6 linked regions of the Tribolium castaneum genome follow. The protein of the gene in region 6 purifies or fractionates together with the protein of the main gene of each other region. This does not show direct contact. Links are inferred from orthologs where the notes say so. Each region holds a gene or a part of one and is shown on either strand. Other genes may lie near its edges. The genes, in order: LTV1, RRP12-like protein, RpS23, bys, RIOK2 and Tsr1.

What was found.
Region 1: the proteins of Tsr1 (region 6) and LTV1 purify together in Homo sapiens (co-immunoprecipitation; 4 studies listed by BioGRID and IntAct, counting the BioPlex papers as one, with this or other methods). This does not show direct contact. The link is inferred for Tribolium castaneum from reciprocal best matches to the Homo sapiens genes TSR1 and LTV1.
Region 2: the proteins of Tsr1 (region 6) and RRP12-like protein purify together in Homo sapiens (affinity purification with mass spectrometry; 3 studies listed by BioGRID and IntAct, counting the BioPlex papers as one, with this or other methods). This does not show direct contact. The link is inferred for Tribolium castaneum from reciprocal best matches to the Homo sapiens genes TSR1 and RRP12.
Region 3: the proteins of Tsr1 (region 6) and RpS23 fractionate together in Homo sapiens (co-fractionation; 3 studies listed by BioGRID and IntAct, with this or other methods). This does not show direct contact. The link is inferred for Tribolium castaneum from reciprocal best matches to the Homo sapiens genes TSR1 and RPS23.
Region 4: the proteins of Tsr1 (region 6) and bys purify together in Homo sapiens (affinity purification with mass spectrometry; 3 studies listed by BioGRID and IntAct, counting the BioPlex papers as one, with this or other methods). This does not show direct contact. The link is inferred for Tribolium castaneum from reciprocal best matches to the Homo sapiens genes TSR1 and BYSL.
Region 5: the proteins of Tsr1 (region 6) and RIOK2 fractionate together in Homo sapiens (co-fractionation; 3 studies listed by BioGRID and IntAct, with this or other methods). This does not show direct contact. The link is inferred for Tribolium castaneum from reciprocal best matches to the Homo sapiens genes TSR1 and RIOK2.

The regions. Positions count from the first base shown.
Region 1 is NC_087396.1:13,992,899-13,997,165, reverse strand, and holds the start of LTV1 (protein LTV1 homolog), read left to right. Parts: upstream 1-1,467; 5' UTR 1,468-1,618; coding exon 1,619-1,621; intron 1,622-1,699; coding exon 1,700-2,051; intron 2,052-2,097; coding exon 2,098-2,414; intron 2,415-2,461; coding exon 2,462-2,767; intron 2,768-4,267. Other genes in the region: Pngl (peptide-N(4)-(N-acetyl-beta-glucosaminyl)asparagine amidase), read left to right, coding at 1-80, 132-314, 366-978, 1,029-1,190, 1,238-1,413. UniProt on the Homo sapiens protein: Essential for ribosome biogenesis.
Region 2 is NC_087395.1:23,545,583-23,549,082, forward strand, and holds the end of RRP12-like protein, read right to left. Parts: intron 1,898-3,500; coding exon 1,641-1,897; intron 1,592-1,640; coding exon 1,437-1,591; intron 1,388-1,436; coding exon 919-1,387; intron 366-918; coding exon 263-365; 3' UTR 214-262; downstream 1-213.
Region 3 is NC_087397.1:10,542,711-10,545,685, reverse strand, and holds RpS23 (small ribosomal subunit protein uS12), read right to left. Parts: upstream 1,821-2,975; 5' UTR 1,691-1,820; coding exon 1,687-1,690; intron 1,373-1,686; coding exon 1,213-1,372; intron 1,058-1,212; exon of another isoform or gene 955-1,057; intron 888-954; coding exon 689-887; intron 636-688; coding exon 567-635; 3' UTR 501-566; downstream 1-500. Other genes in the region: PRADC1-like protein, read left to right, coding at 1-194; zinc finger protein 184, read left to right, coding at 2,313-2,396, 2,746-2,975. UniProt on the Homo sapiens protein: Component of the ribosome, a large ribonucleoprotein complex responsible for the synthesis of proteins in the cell.
Region 4 is NC_087398.1:4,030,195-4,033,701, reverse strand, and holds bys (bystin), read right to left. Parts: upstream 2,030-3,507; 5' UTR 1,944-2,029; coding exon 1,809-1,943; intron 1,764-1,808; coding exon 1,292-1,763; intron 1,247-1,291; coding exon 588-1,246; 3' UTR 501-587; downstream 1-500. Other genes in the region: Tango11 (transport and Golgi organization protein 11), read left to right, coding at 1-428; kto (mediator of RNA polymerase II transcription subunit 12), read left to right, coding at 2,534-3,083, 3,137-3,507. UniProt on the Homo sapiens protein: Required for processing of 20S pre-rRNA precursor and biogenesis of 40S ribosomal subunits. May be required for trophinin-dependent regulation of cell adhesion during implantation of human embryos.
Region 5 is NC_087394.1:23,768,422-23,772,530, reverse strand, and holds the start of RIOK2 (serine/threonine-protein kinase RIO2), read left to right. Parts: upstream 1-1,309; 5' UTR 1,310-1,401; coding exon 1,402-1,467; intron 1,468-1,516; coding exon 1,517-1,658; intron 1,659-1,705; coding exon 1,706-2,084; intron 2,085-4,109. Other genes in the region: serine/threonine-protein kinase SBK1, read left to right, coding at 131-1,151. UniProt on the Homo sapiens protein: Serine/threonine-protein kinase involved in the final steps of cytoplasmic maturation of the 40S ribosomal subunit. Involved in export of the 40S pre-ribosome particles (pre-40S) from the nucleus to the cytoplasm.
Region 6 is NC_087398.1:15,011,579-15,014,695, reverse strand, and holds the end of Tsr1 (pre-rRNA-processing protein TSR1 homolog), read right to left. Parts: intron 1,348-3,117; coding exon 771-1,347; intron 714-770; coding exon 565-713; 3' UTR 501-564; downstream 1-500. UniProt on the Homo sapiens protein: Required during maturation of the 40S ribosomal subunit in the nucleolus.

The sequences.
Region 1 (4,267 bases), on a different chromosome or scaffold from region 6:
GTGAGAAATGCGGGGGAAACACTGCGATGTCTCACATGAGTTCGGATAAGACCGATTTAGTTTATACAAGCAGGGTTGAAGTACGTTTTAATATTCCCAATTTGTTATTTTTCATTTAAAATAATTTGAAGGTCTACAAATGTAAAACTTGCAACGCATTTACTAAATTTCCCCGTTTTAACGATTTAAATATCTTATTGGAGACTCGAAGAGGGAGGTGTGGGGAATGGGCAAATGTTTTTACGTTACTTTGCCGCTCTTTGGGGTGGGATGCTCGCTATGTGGTTGATGAACTTGACCACGTGTGGACTGAAGTTAGTTTTTTTCTTTCCATAATAAATAACATTCACAATTTATTTTTTTAGGTTTATTCAGTTACGCAAAAACGTTGGGTTCATTGCGACTGCTGCGAAAACGCATGTGATACGCCCCTAATGTACGAAACAGGGTGGAATAAAAAATTAACATACATTATAGCGTATTCTCCTGATGAAGTCCAGGATGTCACCTGGCGTTATTCCAGCAATCACAGAGAAGTTCGGACACGAAGAAACAAATGTTCAGAAGACGAACTTGTGAATGCCTTAATTACGCTTAGAAATGAGCGCCAGAAGTCATTTAGTGCACCTAAACGTGATTATTTAACGAAAAGATTGGTTACTGAGTTGATAGAATTGATGGTGGAGAGAAAAGCGAATGATAGTGAAAAGTTCGGCCGTATTTCGGGATCGAAAGAATGGAGAAGTGCAAGAGGGGAAATAAAAAATGAGAACATGTATGTGTGGATTGTTCCGAGTAAACATATCGTTAATAATAAATTGACAATTAAATATTCCACCGCGTTTGATAAGTACGAGTTTGTGAAGGGGGATAATAGTGTTTTGGGGGTAAACGGCTGGCAATATGGTGTCTATGATTTCAGTAATGTGTTCAGAAAAGAAGAGAAAGATTGGAAAACGGTTTATTTGGCCCGAAATGGTGCGATTTAAACCAATTGTTTTTTCATATTATTACTTGACAATTTTTAGAAGGGACCGATCAAGGGAGTATATCATGGAGATTCGAATTAGATAAAGGGGTTAAAAAGTGTATAGATAACTTATCATTAAAATTCAATTATCAACTATACGAAAGTGGAGTCGTACAAATACAACTAATTTCCGATGATAAATGTGTGGATTTTCCAAAAAGTATCAGTTAAATTGTTTTGTTTTATTTTTTTAACATTTATTTGTAGCTGAAGGGGCTCTAGAAACTCAGGCATTTTCGGGAGTGAGGCATTTTACAATTAAGGCAACTTTAAGTGGAGGCAAGGGCAATGTGGCCTGGCAGCATGCCCAATTATTCCGTCAGTCCAGTGATAGCAAAGATTTTCCATTTGTTCTTTCTGTAACTTTTAGAAACGTTGAGTAAATAAATATTTGTTACAATTTCTGTTTTGTATTAAAATAGAAAAAAAGTTATAAAACATAATTGACAGTTCTTTGTTGACACGTGCAGACATAACCTAATTTTTTATCATTATTTAACTTTTCCCAACTTCGGGAGACTATAAAAGCATCAATTTTGTTGGAAAGGGTTTCTGTGAATATTTTTGCAAATATTGATAACACAGAAAATGGTAAGTTGGTGTTATATTAAAGTTAAACTGAAGAAGTACCAATTTTGGGGTTATGTTTCCTAACCACTACAATTTTAGCCAAAGACACGGAAATTTATCGATAAAAAGAAGGCGATTACCTTCCAACTGGTCCACAGAAGCCAGCAGGACCCCCTAATAGCGGACGAGAACGCTCCTCAGAGAGTCCTCGTCCCAATACATGAGAAAGAAAAACGCTTGGAGGAGCAACATAAATATGGAATTTACTACAACGACGACTGCAACTATTTGGAACACTTGAAAGACTCCAAAGACAATCAAGTAGAATGGCCCGACCATGTGGAAAAGTCTCTCAAAGAGAGAAGGGTCAAGCTGGACTTGCCTGCCACAGTTTTTGCCTCAAAACATGAGGAAAAAGAGGGAATGTTGAGCAAGGCCGCTCCAGTTTCAGGTTTGTGTCGAAAAATGCTTATTTGTGGTGTAAGTCTGGGTTGTAGGGCCTCAACTTCAATTGGACCCTGATTTGGTTGCGGCAATGGACGAAGATTTTGATTACTCAGATCCTGAGAATCAGTTGGAGGATAATTTTATTGAGTTAGCTGAAGGTGTTGCTTCTGATCAAGAATTTGATGATGAGTTTGAAGTGGAATCTGATTTGGGCAGTGAAGAGAGAGATGAAGTTGGATCTTTACCAGACTCTCAACTCTCTTTCAACGAAGAAGAAACAAAGTCAAGATTTACAAGTTATTCCATGACTAGTTCTGTTATAAGGAGGAACGAGCAGCTCACTTTGCTCGATGATAGATTTGAACAGGTAATTGGGCAACGAAAAATTGCGAAAATATTTTTTGTTGTGTCTAGATGTATGCTGATTATGACGACAACGAAATTGGGGCTTTGGACTGCGAAGAGATAGAAGGGCATGTACCTGAAAGCTCTGACATACTCCTACAATATGCCCAAGAATTTGAAAAGAGCCAACAAAATGAAAAATTAGATAAGGAAGTTATAAAGGCGAAAATTGATGAAAGCTTAACTAAAGACTCTAAAAGTGAGGAGGAGATGGTGTACATGGAAGTACCGCAGAAGGAAAAATGGGATTGTGAGTCTATCCTGAGCACCTACTCCAATATTTACAACCACCCAAAACTGATCAAGGAACCAGCTGTAAGTAAAATACCATGCCTTCAATTAAATTTCTGAACAGATTTAATTATGGTAATGCGAACGCCAGTCTACACTTAAAATGATTAACACATGAGGAAATCAAGTCTACAAAATTTATTGATATTACTGTGTTACGCAACTCGAAATAAACATGAAAATTACAAAAGTCAATAAAATCAGTTAGTGAAATGCAAATCAGAAGCCTGCAGTCTTCAAAAATATGAGTTTTATTAAAAAAAAACACGGTTCAAGTGGGTCACCGATAAAATTGTTATTTTTCCCAAATTATTGTGAAACATCGTAGCTTTTCATCATTATCCTGTTATCTCGGTTCCGCAATTCACACCTGATTGAGTAAATAAATATTTTTCTCATGCTGCAACATAATAAATAACTTGCAAATGAGAACCGACCCATTTCACAGCACTTTTAAAGCCTACATAATATTTAAAGGTAGGTACTTTATTTGATTGCTGTAACAGTTTCTGTTTTCTCAAACGTGAGAAAATTAAATTAAAATGAGATCTCGCTACTTTGAATAAAACACACTGAAAATAGGACAAGGGAAAACTGGAAATTTTAATGCCGTTATTTAAATTTACTCAATTCACGATCGACCATGAACTTTTAAACGATTTTGAATTTTTTAACGCGAAATGCATTCAATTTAAAATTGTTTGTTGGTGTTTATTTTTAGAAATGGACGTTTTGCTTATTTATTGGCCAAAAGCAAATAAATTGTGTAGTTGAGATTTTTATTTAAATATTCAATCGATTTTGAACTCTAATAACAATGAATGAGTAGTTACTAATTATTCACAGGAACTGATATGCCTACACACTTTTTTATTTTTTTCGTGTTAAAGTCCAACGTGAGTCAGTGTCGAATTTATAAATGTAATAATGGTGGTTTTATATTGAAAATTGTGAGTTACTTGATAAGAGAATAGAATTATTTGAATTAATTGAATTTTAACCGAAAATAATGCAGCTATTATAAAAGTTCATGACAAACTTTTCTATGGATTAGTACACCAGGGATTTCGTTCATTGTATCTCCTATTGGAAACTTTTGAGAGCTTCTATCTATTATATCAGTCTCATTTGCGTCGCTCTTTTATTAAAACTTTATCAAAAGGGATTTGATAAAACAAGCGTGTTTTTTTCTTTTGTAACTTGTATAAATAGCAAGTGACTGCTTAAGTCCTTTGTTTTTAATGTACAGATGTTCAGTAATAAATATTATCGTATTTACTGGTTTAGTCACATGAAATTAGGTAAATTAAGAACTTCTTTGTTCGATCACTGGAGAGGTTGTAGGTCACTGGATAGATAATACAGGAAGGGTCATCAAAAAGTGATTTGTAATTTGCGCACTTTTTGATCACTCCAATTACCGCGTCTTGTTAGAGATATTGCGCAAGATTTTTATTTCCGTGTATTACTTGTATTTTTGTCGCGATAGTGTAGTTTCTGTGTTTGGTAATTGTTTTGTTTACA
Region 2 (3,500 bases), on a different chromosome or scaffold from region 6:
CTCATGACTCGATTGCTTTCATAGATACGAAACAGGGAAAGTAACAAATTGTTCTCTCAATTATTTTTTCCACATTTTATTTGTACAAAGTGAGATTTTTTATATAGTTTTAATTATCGCAATTAAGTGAGTATTTGTTTGAATTCATTCAATCAATCTATTATTTTCTCATTTATTGTAGAAATTCTAGGTCTGGAATAAAAATATATTAAGTGCGCTTAATTTTTATTACAAGCTATCACAAGCTGGTACAAAGAACAAATCAATTTTTATTGCGATTTCTTTTGGCTTTGGCCCCCTTCAAGGCCCCGGCCTTGGCCCCCCTGATAATGTTCTTAAACTGTCCTGCTGCCTTCGACTTTTTTCTACAAGTTTCAAATCAGCTAAACCCACTCAAACTACGGAGGACTAACTACTAGGAGGCAGAAATCAAAGGCTTATAAAATCGGTTAAAACAAAGTACAACATTCACAACTTTATGGTACGAGATAACATTTTTTCAGTGTTTTGATAGTACATCGTTTTATCTTTCTGGTAGATACAAAAAAATAATAAAAATCTTAAACAAAGTTATACCCAAAAATAAAATAAAAAAATAATAATTACGACAATTCTTGCTTTAGTTGGTGTGATTTATTTAGGTTTCATGTTGTCATGTCAATTAAAGGAGAATTGTAAAAAACAATCGCAGCTTATAAAATAAGACAAGAACAAAAAAACTTTTTTTTATTTTATTTTTGTTTCATTTATCAAAATAGATTCTCATAAAAATTACGAAATTTTGAAATATTGCTTATGCGTAAACAAATGGGCATCATAATCTGTAAAATTCAAGCCTCAAATTTTTTTCATGAACGAATCAAAGTTAATTGAAACTTTTCGCCCCCTAGTTTTAGTCCTCCGCCCTTTTAGACTCACCTTTTGTTGATGGCAGACCTGCGCAAGGGCAAGTAGGCGTAAGGGTCCGGTTTGCCCTTCTTCTTAACATCACCTTTGGCCCTTTTGCCCCTGTATTCGCTTCCAGGGACACTGCTAGCGCCACTGCGGACGGACGCCGAACTCGTGGCCCGATGTATGCCAATTCCACCAGTTTTATACTTCGCAGGAGGCTGACTAACTGAACTAACTCCACTCTTAACACTTGCCGCTCTTTTGCGCTTTCTATCACTCAAAACTAGAGTTTCGGCCACGCTTTTATCGTCAACTTCCGAATCTGAATCAGAATCAAAATCGATTTTATTTTTCTTCTTGTCTGAATCACTGTCTGACGAATCGTCATCGGTGATAATGAGTCGGCCGTCTGGAGCGGTCTTAAAACCGCGGTCTTTCCCCGGTTTGGGTTTTTTCGAGGTGGCTGGGCAGAACGGTGCAGAGCCGGGCTGAGTGGCTGAAAAATAATAACAGTCGGGGAAAAACCAAGAGAAAGGTCCAATCACCTGTTATTTTACTGACCACGTTCGGGTCGGTAAAATCGACGATTGATTCGGGATCTTCCTCAATCCAGGTGTTCGGTTGTTTTCGCTTGACCACTTTGTGGTCGGTTTCCATGTCTTCGGTTTCGGAATCGGAGTCCGCTAGAATTTCTTCAACACTAAAATTTTTTTAATAAGTATAAAGTCGCCCGTTTCGTGTTTTTAAACCTCTTCGGTTTCGCTTTGATCAAAAATTCTTCATCCTCACTTCCGTCCTCTTCTTTTTGTCCCTCCTTCTGTCGCTTCTTTCGGGCAAGAAGCTTCCGAATGTTTCTCAATCTCTTGTACATAACTGTGTTCGATTCAGGTATGTAGGGGGCGATTGACTCACTTCCGTATTTCCTCACTAACTTATTTAAAATATCGCGGATTTTTAACCTGAAGTGTCTGCTACAATCGTCCGTCATCGAACACAAAGCCTTGATCTAAAATAATTCAACATGTTTTTGACATTCATGGGGTAATAACAAAAAATTGGAAAATTGAGAATTCGTCAATTTTCTTGACGCCAGTCGATTTCCCAGCTCATTTTACATAAGATTACGTCAAAATAATTTAACTTTTTCAAATAGTTTTGTCGTAATCATCGTTTGAAAAGTAAGTGTGTGAATTTTTCACCATGTTTTTTACATTTATCAGGCAATAACTCCGGAACTATTAGACTTAACCCCAGTAAGTTTAATATCGTCGGAAAGCTTTTTTGATAATCTATTTTTCCCAAAAAAGATCACTGCTCTCCGATTAGTAGTTTTCGAGAAATTTGCAAACCAATGCAAAAATTGGAAAAAATCATAACTTAGAAAGTATTGAGAATTTGTCAATTTTCTTGACGCCAGTCGATTTCCCAGCTCATTCTACATAAGATTACGTCAAAATAATTTAACTTTTTCAAATAGTTTTGTCGTAATCATCGTTTGAAAAGTAAGTGTGTGAATTTTTCACCATGTTTTTTACATTTATCAGGCAATAACTCCGGAACTATTAGACTTAACCCCATGAAGTGTATTATCGTTGGAAAGCTTTTTTGATAATCTAATTTTCCCAAAAAAGATCAATGCTGTCCGATTAGTAGTTTTCGAGAAAGTTGCAAGAAATGGAAAAAAATCATAATTTGGAAAGTATTGAGAATTTGTCAATTTTCTTGACGCTAGTCGATTTCCCAGCTCATTTTACATAAGATTACGTCAAAATAATTTAACTTTTTCAAATAGTTTTGTCGTAATCATCGTTTGAAAAGTAAGTGTGTGAATTTTTCACCATGTTTTTTACATTTATCAGGCAATAACTCCGGAACTATTAGACTTAACCCCAGTAAGTTTAATATCGTCGGAAAGCTTTTTTGATAATCTATTTTTCCCAAAAAAGATCACTGCTCTCCGATTAGTAGTTTTCGAGAAATTTGCAAACCAATGCAAAAATTGGAAAAAATCATAACTTAGAAAGTATTGAGAATTTGTCAATTTTCTTGACGCCAGTCGATTTTCCAGCTCATTCTACATAAGATTACGTCAAAATAATTTAACTTTTTCAAATAGTTTTGTCGTAATCATCGTTTGAAAAGTAAGTGTGTGAATTTTTCACCATGTTTTTTACATTTATCAGGCAATAACTCCGGAACTATTAGACTTAACCCCATGAAGTGTATTATCGTTGGAAAGCTTTTTTGATAATCTAATTTTCCCAAAAAAGATCAATGCTGTCCGATTAGTAGTTTTCGAGAAAGTTGCAAGAAATGGAAAAAAATCATAATTTGGAAAGTATTGAGAATTTGTCAATTTTCTTGACGCTAGTCGATTTCCCAGCTCATTTTACATAAGATTACGTCAAAATAATTTAACTTTTTCAAATAGTTTTGTCGTAATCATCGTTTGAAAAGTAAGTGTGTGAATTTTTCACCACGTTTTTGACATTCATCGGGTAATAACTCCGGAACTATTAGACTTAACCCCAGTAAGTTTAATATCGTTGGAAGGCTTTTTTGATAATCTATTTTTCCCAAAAAAGATCATTGCTCTCCGATTAGTAGTT
Region 3 (2,975 bases), on a different chromosome or scaffold from region 6:
TTATTGAGATGATTGATGATGACTCATCTGATGAAGTTCACATACCTGCGGCTTTTCTCATGGGCAAAAACGGTATTATGATCACAAAAACGCTGGAAAGGTTAAAAAGATCGTATGCAATAATCAATTTACCTGTAAATTTAACCTTCACACCAGTACATGAAATGAATCAACCACCGTGGTTAGGATGGTAATTAGTGAATGAAACACAAATCAGGGTCAAGTTCCTCAGTTGTTAACCCCAGTTGGACACTGTACTTATGTTTATTTATTGCCAAACAAGTTATTAACTGGTGTGGGGTTGTATTGTTTAAATGGCCACGTCTGTGCCATGTGTGAAAAATTGCTCACCTCTAGTCAACTGTTAGCAATAATTTTTTAAGAATTTACTGTCTTAATTGTTTGTACATATCACTTGTATTTATTGAATAAATTTTAAGGTGTTCTTGCGTTTGTCTTTATTCTTAAGTAGGGAGCAAGTGAGGGATTAAGACAAAACATTAACTTAATTCCGGAATTTTATTAAAATACCAGTATCCAAGATGTAAAAATTAACAAAATATAAATTACGACCTAGGTCTTTCCTTCTTTTCTTTGTACAACGCTAGTAGGGATACGTTGGCTACTTTGACAACCTGTAAGCAATAAAATTGGAGATGTGTGTTTTTATGGGGTTGCTGTCTTATACCTTGAACCTAACTCCGGGAATATCACCTACGGCATGACCTTTACGACCGAAACCTGCGACCAAAACTTCGTCGTTTTCTTCAATATGGTTCAAGCAACCATCTCTAGGGACGAAAGCGGTGATTTTCTTCCCGTTTTTGATCAACTGGACCCTAACACACTTACGGATAGCGGAGTTGGGTTGCTTAGCCTCAACACCTCTGCAAAAACAGTAACATTTCGTCTCCATACTCCTCTCATGATTTTAACAAACAAAATTAACTTGCCTGTGGTGACAAAACCAACTCCCCGCACAGAATTTTCCTGTGATTGAATCAAGCACACCCATTCACAAGCAAATCCTGCGCAGGGCGCCAATTACCCCATTTGAACTGTGGCACACATATCAGAGCGTGAAGTCAACCGAATTGACTTCCCAATGGTTCAGAGTACCATCTTTAATCTAGCACTCTTAAAATTAAACTAAGGCATCAAAGGAGTGCCTAGTTGTCTCAAAGTGCACTTGTAGCAAAATAAGAGACTCACACTTTTTCAAGCACAATTCCCTTGGCGTGCGAAGCCCCCCCGAAAGGATTGGCCTTCCAGCGGGTCCCCAAATGGGCCTTCTTGTAGTCTTTGTCGGCCCATCGCTGCTCACGACGATGGTTCACATGTTTACGAGCCGTCCTCAAACCGCGGGGCTTACCTGAAACACAAAAACATGAATTAGAAAAATACGAAAACAACGACGCCAAACAAACTCCCACAATCACATTTACCGAAAAAAAGGGCAGTTTTGCATGTGTTTAGCAAGAGGATGGAACGGATTTATTTCAAGGGAGCGAAAAGCGAGCGAAGTTACAATCGATATTTTTGGGGGTAAGTTACCGAAAAGTCACTTGTGGCCCATGAAATTTGATGAGGCGACACACAAATTAACGGAATTCGGATAATTACGGCAAATTTAACGACCAAAACGCGAAAAAAACGTATTTATTTACGCCAGTGCGTGACACTCACCCATGTTGGTTGCTGCAAAACTTCGGCAAAAGAGGCCCAGGAATGCCAACCTGACGCCATGTAAGGCCCGAACGTTGGCAACGCCTCGAAACGGATCGTTGTTTTTGGGGCATAGGAGCCCGATCCGGGACCCGGATTTACGTTTCCGGTTTGTTGCCAGTGGGCTAATTGCAATTTCGTGTCAATTGGACGTGTTATTCCCCAATTTCGAATCCGATTTTTTGAGAAAGTGGGGTCATTGTCGCCGTTGTGTTGGTAGTGGACTGAAATCGATCCAATTTTTTTGTGATAGAAGAGGATAAGCGATTTTTGACAGTTCGAAGCGCACTTTTTGTATATTTTTTTAAGCAACCTATCGAGTTCTTGGCTGTATAGCTTTTTTTGTACTTCTATTCTGGACCAAGTTATAATGTTTGCGTGTTTTACGTTTTTGCTCCGGATTTTCTAACAATTAAGGTAATTATCAACGCCTTCTTTTCATAGTAATCTAATTACTCGTTTGTTTATTTTGCGTTTTTTGACAGTAGCAAAAATAACACACACTCCGTAAACAAAAGCACACTTGCGGCTTATTATTAGAAAAATGATTTCCCAATGTTTGTTTTATTCCAGATACGGGACTGAACATGGAAAATGCTCAAGAACGCGATTTTCACAGAAGTTTGGAGCCTGACGTGATCATTAATCATGAACTCAGTGAAGACGAAGAAGTGAGTTTGATTACTAACACAGGGGCCCCCATATCGTGCTAAATTCAAAGAAATGGGGACATTTCGCTCTAGAGTCGATAACTTTTTCTTGAGGGTTTTTATCGTCTTTTTGCCACCATTTTAAAATATGTTTTAAGACAACTAAGAAGGCTGGGATTACTGTTTACTGATGACAATGACATTTGATACTCGATTGTTTGTTTGTTGGCGTGCCCCCAATTTTTGCCCTCATTATTCTTAAACCTATTTAAATCAGATTTAATCTAACATTAAGTTCCTAAAGATTGCTATACGTGTATGAAGCCTTTACTCAAAATTAAGTTAACGTTGAAAATTCCTTCTTTTCCAGGAAGTGACTTGCGTGAAGAGCAGGGACGTGCACTCGGCGTCGAATAATGGCCATCCCAAGACGGTGCAACCAGACATATCCATAATTCCGATAAGTAGAAAGCCTCAGATCAAAATAAAGCTGTTCAAGAAGGAGTATTCCCCCTCGAAGGACGACACGAAAGTACAAAGCATCTCTCGATCTCCGCGTCAAACGGTAAGACTGGTATCAAAAGACGAAGCAGAGCGTGC
Region 4 (3,507 bases), about 11 Mb from region 6:
CGCCCCCACGCGAAATTGTCTTTGACAACTCGATCCTTCCCCCAGAACCGTACCCCGGGGATGTGCGGGTTGCGACCCCGCCCAGGACTTTGACTCTGGACAAGTACCCCTTTCCCACTCTTGAGGAGATGGAGGACCCGGAACTGAACCAGATTCCGGTGGTTAAACCAAAGAAAAAACAGGCGTTTGATGATTCGGATTTGAATCTGACGATACGCGAGACTACGCCCCCGATCGGGGGCAGCGGCGAGAGGCTGACGGCCGCCGAAGAGGTGCTGCACCTCAGGCGGCAAATGGCGAAGCTCAACAGACGTGTGATGGCCTTAGAATTAGAAAACTTGAGCCGGCTCCAAAAGGAGAAGTTTCTAGTTGGTTTTGGAGTCGCTTATTTGTTGTTGAAAGTCATTATTTGGATGAATAGAGATTAGGGAGCACTAGTTTATCCCTAAGTTAGGAACAAATCGTATTGACGTTAATTAGTTCTGGTTTAAGTAACATAATTTTCCTAATTTTTCCAAGTTTTTATTAATAGTCTTGTTGTAACCGATTTTTTTCAATATAATTATCACAATTATGTAACCATTAATTTAGTCAAAGTCCATTTTTGGTTCGGCGGTTTCAGCGTCTCGACATTTCGCATTTTGAATTTCTCTTCTGATCTCTGGTGTGATAGCGTGGTGGTTTTGCTTCTTTAATAATTCTAATAAACTGTCCCTTTGCTCGCTTGAAATATCAGCTTTGTATCTTTGTACAAATGTCAGGAAAGCCTGATGCCACAAAACGGGTAATTCCCTGGAATCTCGCTCGAATCTCAAAAAGTGGAACACAACTGCGTCCACAACACGATACGGCAACGCGTATCTTTTATCGAAGAAAATACGCAAAAAAATCGAATTGGCGCCGGTGTAATCCATTTCCGCGATTTTCAAAATCGCGGCAGAAGAATGCAAAATAGGAATAGAGTTTCTTGCGACAACTGAGCCTATTATAATAGCTTCCCTGAGCGTACAATCGCCACTTTCAAGCAGTGGTAGGAGAATTCCCTTCATGAAGCCCCCAGGTTTGAACAGGGCTTTCCTCAAGGCTTGATATAAGTGGAAATTGAGTCGCTTGTATTCGGCCAAGTCGTCGCGAATTCGGGGCAACAAAACCAAATTATAGAACCTCTGAGCCATTTTTTCCTTGAGGTTTGAGGCGAAAATACGGGTGGCTTGGTACATGGCAGCAGCTGACCAACTTGGCGGATCTAAAACTTAATTAACCGCTGGGCATCAACAATGATTTTAATTACCCGTGATGTATAAGATTTGTTCCCAATTCCGCAAGTTGGGGATGATTTTGAACGCTTTCGGCAACTTGCCGCTCCTATATTTCCGCAAAACATCCCTCACCCCTTGATACATTTGTTCCACCCGTGGGTCCAACTCCTGCATTTTGACCGAGCCTTCCTCGCTAAAATGCGTCTTAACTTCGGTAAACTTCTCGGCCAAAATATCCCCCAAAGTGCGTCTCGGGGCCGGATTGCTACTCATGAACTTCTCTAAAGCTTTCTCATCCTCTTCATTGATTTCAATGTTTTCGTAAAACGTGTCCGGTTCGAGGGTGTCTTCCTCTTCCGGTTCGGAGTCATCGTCCCCCAGTTTGGACACTTTAAACTTGCTTGAACTTGCCTCGGACGGCGTGGGGCCGAAACTTGAGTCCAGCTCGCGTTGCTGCTCTCGGGCGGCTGAGAGAATCTTCCGCGAGAGGTTCGAGTCCACAAACTGGAATTTTTTATTGGTTTTAGACAATCATAAAGCGATACAAACTTGTTCATCGTCGTCTTGTCTTAGACGGATTTTGTTGCGGTTTTTCGACTTGGCAAACTTCGCGTCCTCGATGTCCTGGTCCAGGGGCACCTTGGTGCCCATCTGAGACGGCTTCAGGCGCTTTGCTTTGCCCATTATCCCTATTTGTTTACCACACGTGTCTTCAAACTATCTGGACGTAACCTAAAAGGACTTGTCAGAGGTTTGGGTTGGCGACATTGGCAATTTAAAATTAAATTGGAAAACAGCAGCATTAAGTACGAGATTGGGTCAAATCGGGTAAAATATTTTGCAAAATTAATTTTCTAAAAATTCGCTTTTTAAACTATTGCGCTATTAGTTTAAAATTCGATAAAATTAAGCAATTAGCAGGGATTTTTTTATTATCCCTAGAGGTCAAGATGGAGGACACCATCTTCAAAACTTGTGTTGTTGGTGCATAAAAGTGTGTTTATTTCGTCAAAACGGTAATTTATCACTACATTTTTTCCTAATTAAGCTTACATAATGCTTGTTCAATACTTTGTCGTTTTTTTATTTGTCTAAATCGGTGTAAAAACTGAAATATTAGCTCCCATCCTCTCGTTTAGGTGTTGGCACTTTCCCCCGCAATGAAGCCCCCGGGGTCGAGATTTTAATTAAATTGTAGCGATGCGTTACATTGGAGCTGCCTAAAGGCCCCCTTGTCAGTGTTCAAAATAATAGCAATCCCAAATTGTGCCAAAATGTTCAATAGCAGCCTTTTGTACGAAAAACGACCTTTGAAAAAGCCGAAAATCGGCCCTCCGGACGTTTACCCGCAAGAACCGAAGCAAAAAGAAGACGAGTTGACGAGTGTCAACGTTAAACATGGGTTCCTGACAATGACCCACTTAAGCGACGAATTTGGAACGGCCAGAAACTGCAATATTTCGGCAAGCAAAGTCGGGGATTATTTCAATGACATTATCAAACGCAAAGAGGAGTTGAGCATGTTGCCCGATTCCGGCAGGAAGCGGCAACAAATCAACCCCAAAGACAACTTCTGGCCCGCCACAATACGAACAAAAAATGCCATAGAACTCTGGTTTAAGGATCTAGCTGGGAACAAACCATTGATGCACTTGTCGAAAAAAGCGCCCAATTTCAACAAGAAAGAGGAGATTTTTATAATGCTGTGCGAGTATCAGGTGCCTATGATGCGGGCCGCCTGGTTTATCAAGTTGAGTTCGGCTTACACAGTTGCCGTGTCCGAGGCCAAAATCAAAAAACGGCAAATGCCAGACCCGACTACAGGTCTCTATTTTATTACTTGTATTAACTTTACACTTAACTACAATTTCTTGTAGAATGGACCGGAACGATGCTAAAATTCCTCAAAGAACAAATCCTCAAACTGCAAGACTATTACTCCCAAGGTGAAAAGCCCCCTCAAACCCCTTCTCTGACCCAGGCTGCGACCACCGAAACTGAGCAAAAACTCGCAATGCGTCATTGGATTTACTGCACACAGTTGCTCAAATACATGTATGAGGAGGGCCTCATGGACAGGCAAGAAGTCCTGACCTGGATTCTCGAACTTTTGGAAAAAATGAGGTCACAACCGTCCGATGACGGCATTTTGCGCCTTTTGATGCCTTTATGTTTGCAATATTTGGACGAATTCGTCCAATCTGAGTTGTTATCGCGACGTTTGGCGCATTTGTGTTGCAAAAAACTT
Region 5 (4,109 bases), on a different chromosome or scaffold from region 6:
CGAAAATACTAAGAAAAAATGTTGATTGGCAATAGATATCGCCTGGTTTCTTCTAATTTTCCTGATTTGTCCAAAATTTCTTTAATTACTTAAATTACTCCATTTTTCTAAATTTACATTTTTCTCACAGGACCAACACTAGTCACGACGTTTGGCAGTTTGGAATTGTGATATTTGTGTGTTTGACCGGGTGTCTTCCATGGCAGAAAGCCGCCCCTGACGACCCCCGGTACTCCAGGTATATTTCCTGGCAAAGCAGCACTATTCCACTGAAAAGACAGCCAAAATTGTTTAAACTGGTGTCGTCCAAAGCCCAAAAACTCTTCAAAAAATATTTAGAACCAAAACCCGAGAAAAGACCAGCGGGGCTTGCCGAAGTCCATCGATATTTGGAAGACCGCTGGATGTCCAAAGGCGGGATGGAGAAAACGAGCGAGTTGCCGGATGAAGAGGAGGGGCTTTGCCCCTCAATGTACAGCTTCCACAGCAGTCCGGAGGAAAAAAATAAACTACTCTTCACCCTAACCCAGTACGGACTTGAGACAACCGTTGACCGAACGGCCAAAAAGGACCGAATCCGCCAGTGGATCCAGTCGAGTGTCATTGAGGAGGAAAACGAAGAAGAAATCGAAGCACTGTCCGATGAAGAAATCGGCCCTGAGGGGGAGCGAAACGAGTCGCGCGGACCTGTCTCAGCCCCCAAAACCAACGGCCTCGAAACGGACAAAACCAGCCGAAGGAGAGCCTCAACGCTCAGTCTTCGCAAAGTTCCGGACTTTTATATCCCCCCGATTGACCCACGAATCCCCCTTGAAGAGCAAAAGGAGAAAAACGTGTCTCGCAGTCAAATCATCAAGACGAAAGACAAGCCGAAGGACGAGTTTTCAATAAGCAAAGCGTTGCCATTCCAGAACTTACAAGTGGTGAACTCACTGTCATCACTTGATTCCAGTGATAGTAGCACAGTGAAGCACCACAAAATTAACGTGCAGTTGCCCCAATCGGAGAAATACGTTTATGGGGCCACCCCTAACGGGGTGAGCAACGGGGTGCGCAGGTCGCCCCCTGTTAACGTACGAGGGGCTGAAAAGATGTACAGGGCGTACTCGGCCACGGAAGTCCGAGGGAATGGACATTACTCAAGGAAATAAATGCTCAAAACGTGACTGATTGTTATTTATATTTGTACATATTAACGTGTTATTACCACATTTGTATCATGGAGTGATTAATAACTAGTCCTAGGCCAATTTAGAGTAAAAAATGTTTTATTTAAATTTGTTCTTTAAATTTTGCCCCCAAAACCTCTTGGTGATTTTTGATTTGGAACTAGAAACAATCTCAAACCTTGCAAATGTGTTGATGCAATTGCGTGAAAAATAGTTAATTTAAGTGTTAGAAATGGGGAAATTGAACGTAACAATAATGCGTTACCTCACCGGTGAGGATTTCCGGGTTCTAACAGCGGTAATTTGGCGTTTTATCTTGAATTTATTTTCCTAACCTCACTTTTCAGATTGAGATGGGCATGAAAAACCACGAATTGGTTCCGGGCCCCATGGCTGCGTCCATTGCGAATTTGCAGCACGGCGGTGTTCACAAATTGCTGCGTGATTTGTGCAAGCACGGATTATTGAGTTACGAGCGGGGGCGCAAATGTGGGTTAATGTTTTTGCAGACTTCAGGTTTTATTTTATTATTTCAGACGATGGTTACCGCTTGACCAACATGGGGTATGACTATCTGGCCCTCCATTCGTTAACAAAACGCGACGTTATTGGTTCTTTTGGAAATCAGATTGGGGTGGGGAAGGAGAGTAATATTTATATTGTTGCAAATCCTGAAGGAGAGGAAGTTTGTTTGAAGTTGCATAGATTGGGACGAGTGTGTTTCCGGAATGTTACGAATAAACGAGATTATCACAAGCACAGAAAATCGGCGTCTTGGTTGTACTTATCAAGAATTTCAGCCACTAAAGAATTTGCTTACATGAAGGCGCTGTATGATAGGAAGTTTCCAGTCCCTAAACCCATTGATTTTAATAGACATTGTGTCATCATGGAGTTGGTCAAAGGGCGGCCCTTGTGAGTTTTTACTTATTTTAATTACTGGTCAAAGTTGCTTTGGAATTTGAAATTAAGTTGGCAACAGTGCCAAATTCAAACGTTACACTTATCCCTAAAGTGTAGTAACAAAATTCCTCAAACTGTGTAAATAAAGAAGAAAACGTCCAACTGGGTAAAAAGTTATTGTGACAACATTGTAAAAAGAGTATCAATTAAGACGATTTCTAGGGAATACATAATAATTATAAAATAAAATTGTTAAAAGTAAAAACAACAAATAAAAATAATACGTAAACAATATAACATAAATTAACTTCTTTTTGATGAGTAAATTCGTTTTATTTTTTTTTTATAACAATTGTCAAAGTGAATATTCTCTCAAACACCTTAAAACCTTTAGTTTCGGAACACTTGTATCGAAAAAAATCAAGTTTTTATTGTTAAATATCAGAAAACTTACAACGGGGTTAAGGAAATTTTATTTCAAAAGACAAAGAATTCATAATGATAATGATACGGTTGCCAGCCTAGTAATCATCAAATAACTAGTGGGTGAAAGAGGCTCATACCAATATAACATATATAACATATAACTCATACCAATATAACAACACTTTAACAATTGATTTAAAAATAAATTTAAAGAATAAATAAATTAAAAATAAAATAAATGTAAAGAATAAACAGACTAGGTGTACTTACACTTTTACTGTCTCCCTTTTATCACATTTTATGATGAAAACAATGATACTAAAATAATCGTTGTTGGAAAAAAAACTTTTCTTGTTTTTAAAGTGAGCATCTGTGTCAACAAATTTTCGGGAAAAAACAATTACAAGCAAGTAAGCCTCTGTAAGATAAAAGATTAAAAATTCAAGTTTGAATAACGTTTTCGTTCATTATTAAGAGGTAGAGGATATTATCTTCCCTTTTTTTTTATAATTAAAAATCCAAGAATGGCAGTTTATTTTTAGCTGGGTATCCAGAGTCGTTGCCTAATGTTAACTTGAAATAAATCTACGGTTTTGATATTTTTACTGAAAACTAAAAGAATTTCTAAATTATGTAAAATTTTTTTCTTGTTAAAAAATTCCTAGAGCTGGGAAAGATGCTCTAATGTGGCATCTCTGGCTGGGATGTGTGTCAACTGACACAATTTTATCTCACTAATTCAGTATTACCAACTTAATTTCAAAATCAGGGGGCACTTTAATCAGACATTTATTTAACCAATATACATGTACTAAAGTTATTTTCTCACGTAGATGGGTGCTGAAAGTATTTTTAAATACTCTAAAGTATTTTTATTACAGGAGTGTCCCAAAATTAGCGAATTCTGAGTTCAGAGCATCTCAAAACTAATATATCTCAAAAACTAATAGTAGGAGAGAAATCAGCGTTTGCTTTTTTAATTTATCCACCTTTCCTGATAATTAAAATTTATTAATTAAAAATATTAATAATGATAGCCCCAAAGTTACCTCTATTTCCATTTTTATTTAATTATTTTTGGGGCTAGAAACATTTTTTATGAATTTTTTGCACTAAATGCTTGTTCTAAAATGATTCCTAAATTAATCTTTTGCCACGAACTTATAATTAATAATAAGTATACAAGTATTTAATAACAAACTGGAAATTTGTGTGACTATTATTTCTGGGGTATATTAAAAGTATACTTCTAGCAGACCCACCTTGTATAAGTGTAAAAAATAACTTTAGTGCTGAAGTGTTACCTTACGTTTTTTCTGAACCCGTATTTTTTAAAATTTTTGATGTATCCAAGGACTGTCTTTACGGACGATTTTAACAATGACAATAGAAAAACAAATTTTACCGACTATTTTGGGTTGTTTTACGGACGATTGCGGCAAGCATTTTTACAAATTTATGACTTACAATTTTGAAAACTTTATGTCTCCAAAAGTACTACTTTTTTCTGACTATTTTCGGTGACTTGACGTAGTATTGCGGTTACTTTATGGAGGATTGACCCCGACAAAGTTCTTACGAACTACTTTGCGTTACTTTAGGGCAAAAAAA
Region 6 (3,117 bases):
CAGTTAAAAACAAGCCAAAATTACCCAAAAATATTTTGAGCGTTTAAACACGTTTTGTGTGGAAAACATCTTTCTTTGCTGGAGATTTCTAAACGCGGTAGAAACAGGACTAATGGAAGGTCGAAAGTCATTAATTTTGCTCTATTTTTCAGTCTAAAATTCAATTTTTCAAAAAAAAACCCGATAAACCAATAAAGAAGATAAAGAATTGTATACCTTGCGATGTTTTGCTAAATCTAGTCAAAAATCCGGTATTTTAATTCGTTGGTTAAGGTTTTTTGAGAAATCGATAAAACTAACCGAAAAATCACCAAACTAGATCAAAATAGATGTTATTTTAGATCTGAAAAAAACACGTCTTTAATTTTTTTTAAATAAGCTGAAATCAATGATATTTTCCTTTTTCACTCTTAGCTGGTTTTGAGCGAATTTTATTAAATTTAAAAAAAAACTCGAAGGAAATATGGAAATCAAATCAATTAACTTGTAATAAAAAATCATTCCATTCAGCACTTTTATTTATTATAAATATACAGCAAATGAAAGTTATTTGCATCAAAATAATCACGTTTCCATCTCTTCGTTACTGGCAACACTGACCACCAAATCTTCGTAGATCCATTTAGGAAACACTCTTTTGTACAAATTCAGAAGAACGGTGTCTTGCGATTTTAACTGTCCATCAAAAATACACTTGATGTGTCCATGTGTACCTAAAATAACCACAAAAAATTAATAATTACACTTGATGAAAAAAAAAAAAGACTTACCCAAAGGTTCTTTAATATGCCCTACACGTCCCATTTTCGTCCTCAATTTACAAGGCTTAAAGTAGATAATATCTTCACGATTGAAGAACAAAAACCTTATAACCGCTGATCTTTTATAAATTTTAAACGGGTGTCCTGACAAAACAATTCTCTTCAAGATAATCCTGTCGGGATTACAAGAAAGCAAACTTCCTGTCGCAACTAGAACCAACTTCCCATTTTCCTCCTTATAGCACAGAACGGGCGCAGGGGGGAATTGTATTCGGCCGTAAAAAGTGGCAACAACTGTTGATTCCGGTTGAAAATATCTCTCAAACTTGTGTTTCTGGCCGTTTGTATGTTGGCTGAATATGGGATTTGTGACAAATTTTCTGTAGCCACATTGGAAAATTAAGCGCTCTTTTGATTTGATTGGGAGAGAGTAGTTTGGGGTTCGTTTCAAGACGACGTTAATGACTGACATTTTGTATTCGTGGGGTAGTAACCCAAAGAGCACCAAGGGGGCGCCAACTTTCCCGAAGTTGGACCAGGAAAGTTGTGAAACGTTCTTTATATGAACAGTTATGTACCATCCAGGCTGCAAAATCACACATGACTCAAATACACATACCCAAATACCGTCGAATTTCGATAACTCGAACAGGGGGTAAAATAGGTCGAGTCATCGAAAATTAGTATTATCAAAATTAACTAAAAAAAAGAAACTTAAGATTTAGATGCAAATGGATAAAAATGCAAATGCAATCTGACCCCGAAATTTCAAAGTGATTTTAGTGATGTGAAGTTTCTTTCAAAATACACGATTCGGTTTCGATATAATGTATTTTGCGACTAAAGTGTTTTTGGGATAGGATAAATTTAATTTATTTTAATTTAATTTAAATTTAACTTGAAGTAATTCATTGGATTCTGAAATTTACATATAACGATAACGTCAGAATTTTACGTTGTCGTTATACAGGGTGCTCAAAAACTGGCGCACCAACTCAGTGGTACGGTGTTGAGAAGCATGTGTAGATTACGGGAATAATCATGAAAAAATTCCTAAAGTCGTATTTTAAAAAATCCGCAGCTACAAACTTAGGTCATTAACTTCTTCAGTTTTCTTTATTTTTAAATTTACTAGTAGACCTTACCAATTTTTTTTAATATCAAAAAAATAAAATTCATCAAAAAATCACAATTTGTAGATGTGCCAACACTGGAAATTATTTCCTAGGAAACCATTTCAAAAATAATTTATTTTTATTGTTGATCAAATTCTATTGAGACCACGACAGTTACACAGCGTTGCCAGATATCATTTATTTAAAATTCGTTATTTATCACTAATTTTAATACAAAGATTTTTTTTACTATTTTTACCTTTATATGTAATCAGTTCTCTACCACACACCATTGAGTTGGTGCGCCGGTTTTTGAGCACCCGGTATATGTTACTACAACTGTTGAATATTTTTTGAAGAGTAATTTTTTAGTTTCTGGTAGTTTAGAAAATGAAAATTGATCAGTAAATTGGTTAGTAACATTACTTTCTATCTTTATAACTTTTGTTGTCCCGTCCGTAATCACAAAAATAAAATGTTGGTCTTATTTCTTACATTGTTAAACAAAACCAAGAATTTTTTATTTCCACTGTCTAATTTTAATATTGTTAAAGTCTTTATTAATTAAAACCTGACTGAATAAATTTTTTAGAGCGATTTCACGCATAAGATTTTTTTGTCCCGTCCGTCATGTGTAAACAAAAAGTAAATTAATCAGAAGTCGTTGCGTTGCACATTGCCTTATTCTTCGGTTTTGTGATTTCAAAAGCTTCAACAGGTTTCACCTTTTATTTCAAAAATAATTGTTGGAATTAGTGACTTTTAAATTAACAGAATTTTATAAGGATTGTGCAACGATAAAAATGTGAGGTCTTTTTGTATACCGTCCGTCATCAATTTGTAATTATTTTTCCTGTCCGTATTTTAAAATTAAAAATTGTAGGTTGCAAAAAATTTGACTGATACTAAGTTCCTAAAAAAAATTCACCTCTACTGCTGTTCATCAAAACTGAAAATAAAATTTAATAATAATTTGTGTGCCCCGTCCCGTTAAAATGGAATGGCTGTTTTGTCAATTAACCAATTTTTACCAATATATCTTACAATACAACAAATAAGAGACGATCGTTTATTATTGTATCAAATTAGGTTCTTCGATATTATTCTTCTGTCTATAAATTTTTTTCACGAAGTACAGACATTACTCAGACAGACGATATCTTGTGAAATACTACCTAACGGATGCTTTAAAATAAAATGCTTTGGAATGTGGCTTATTTATACTTTCAGTTTAGCGACAA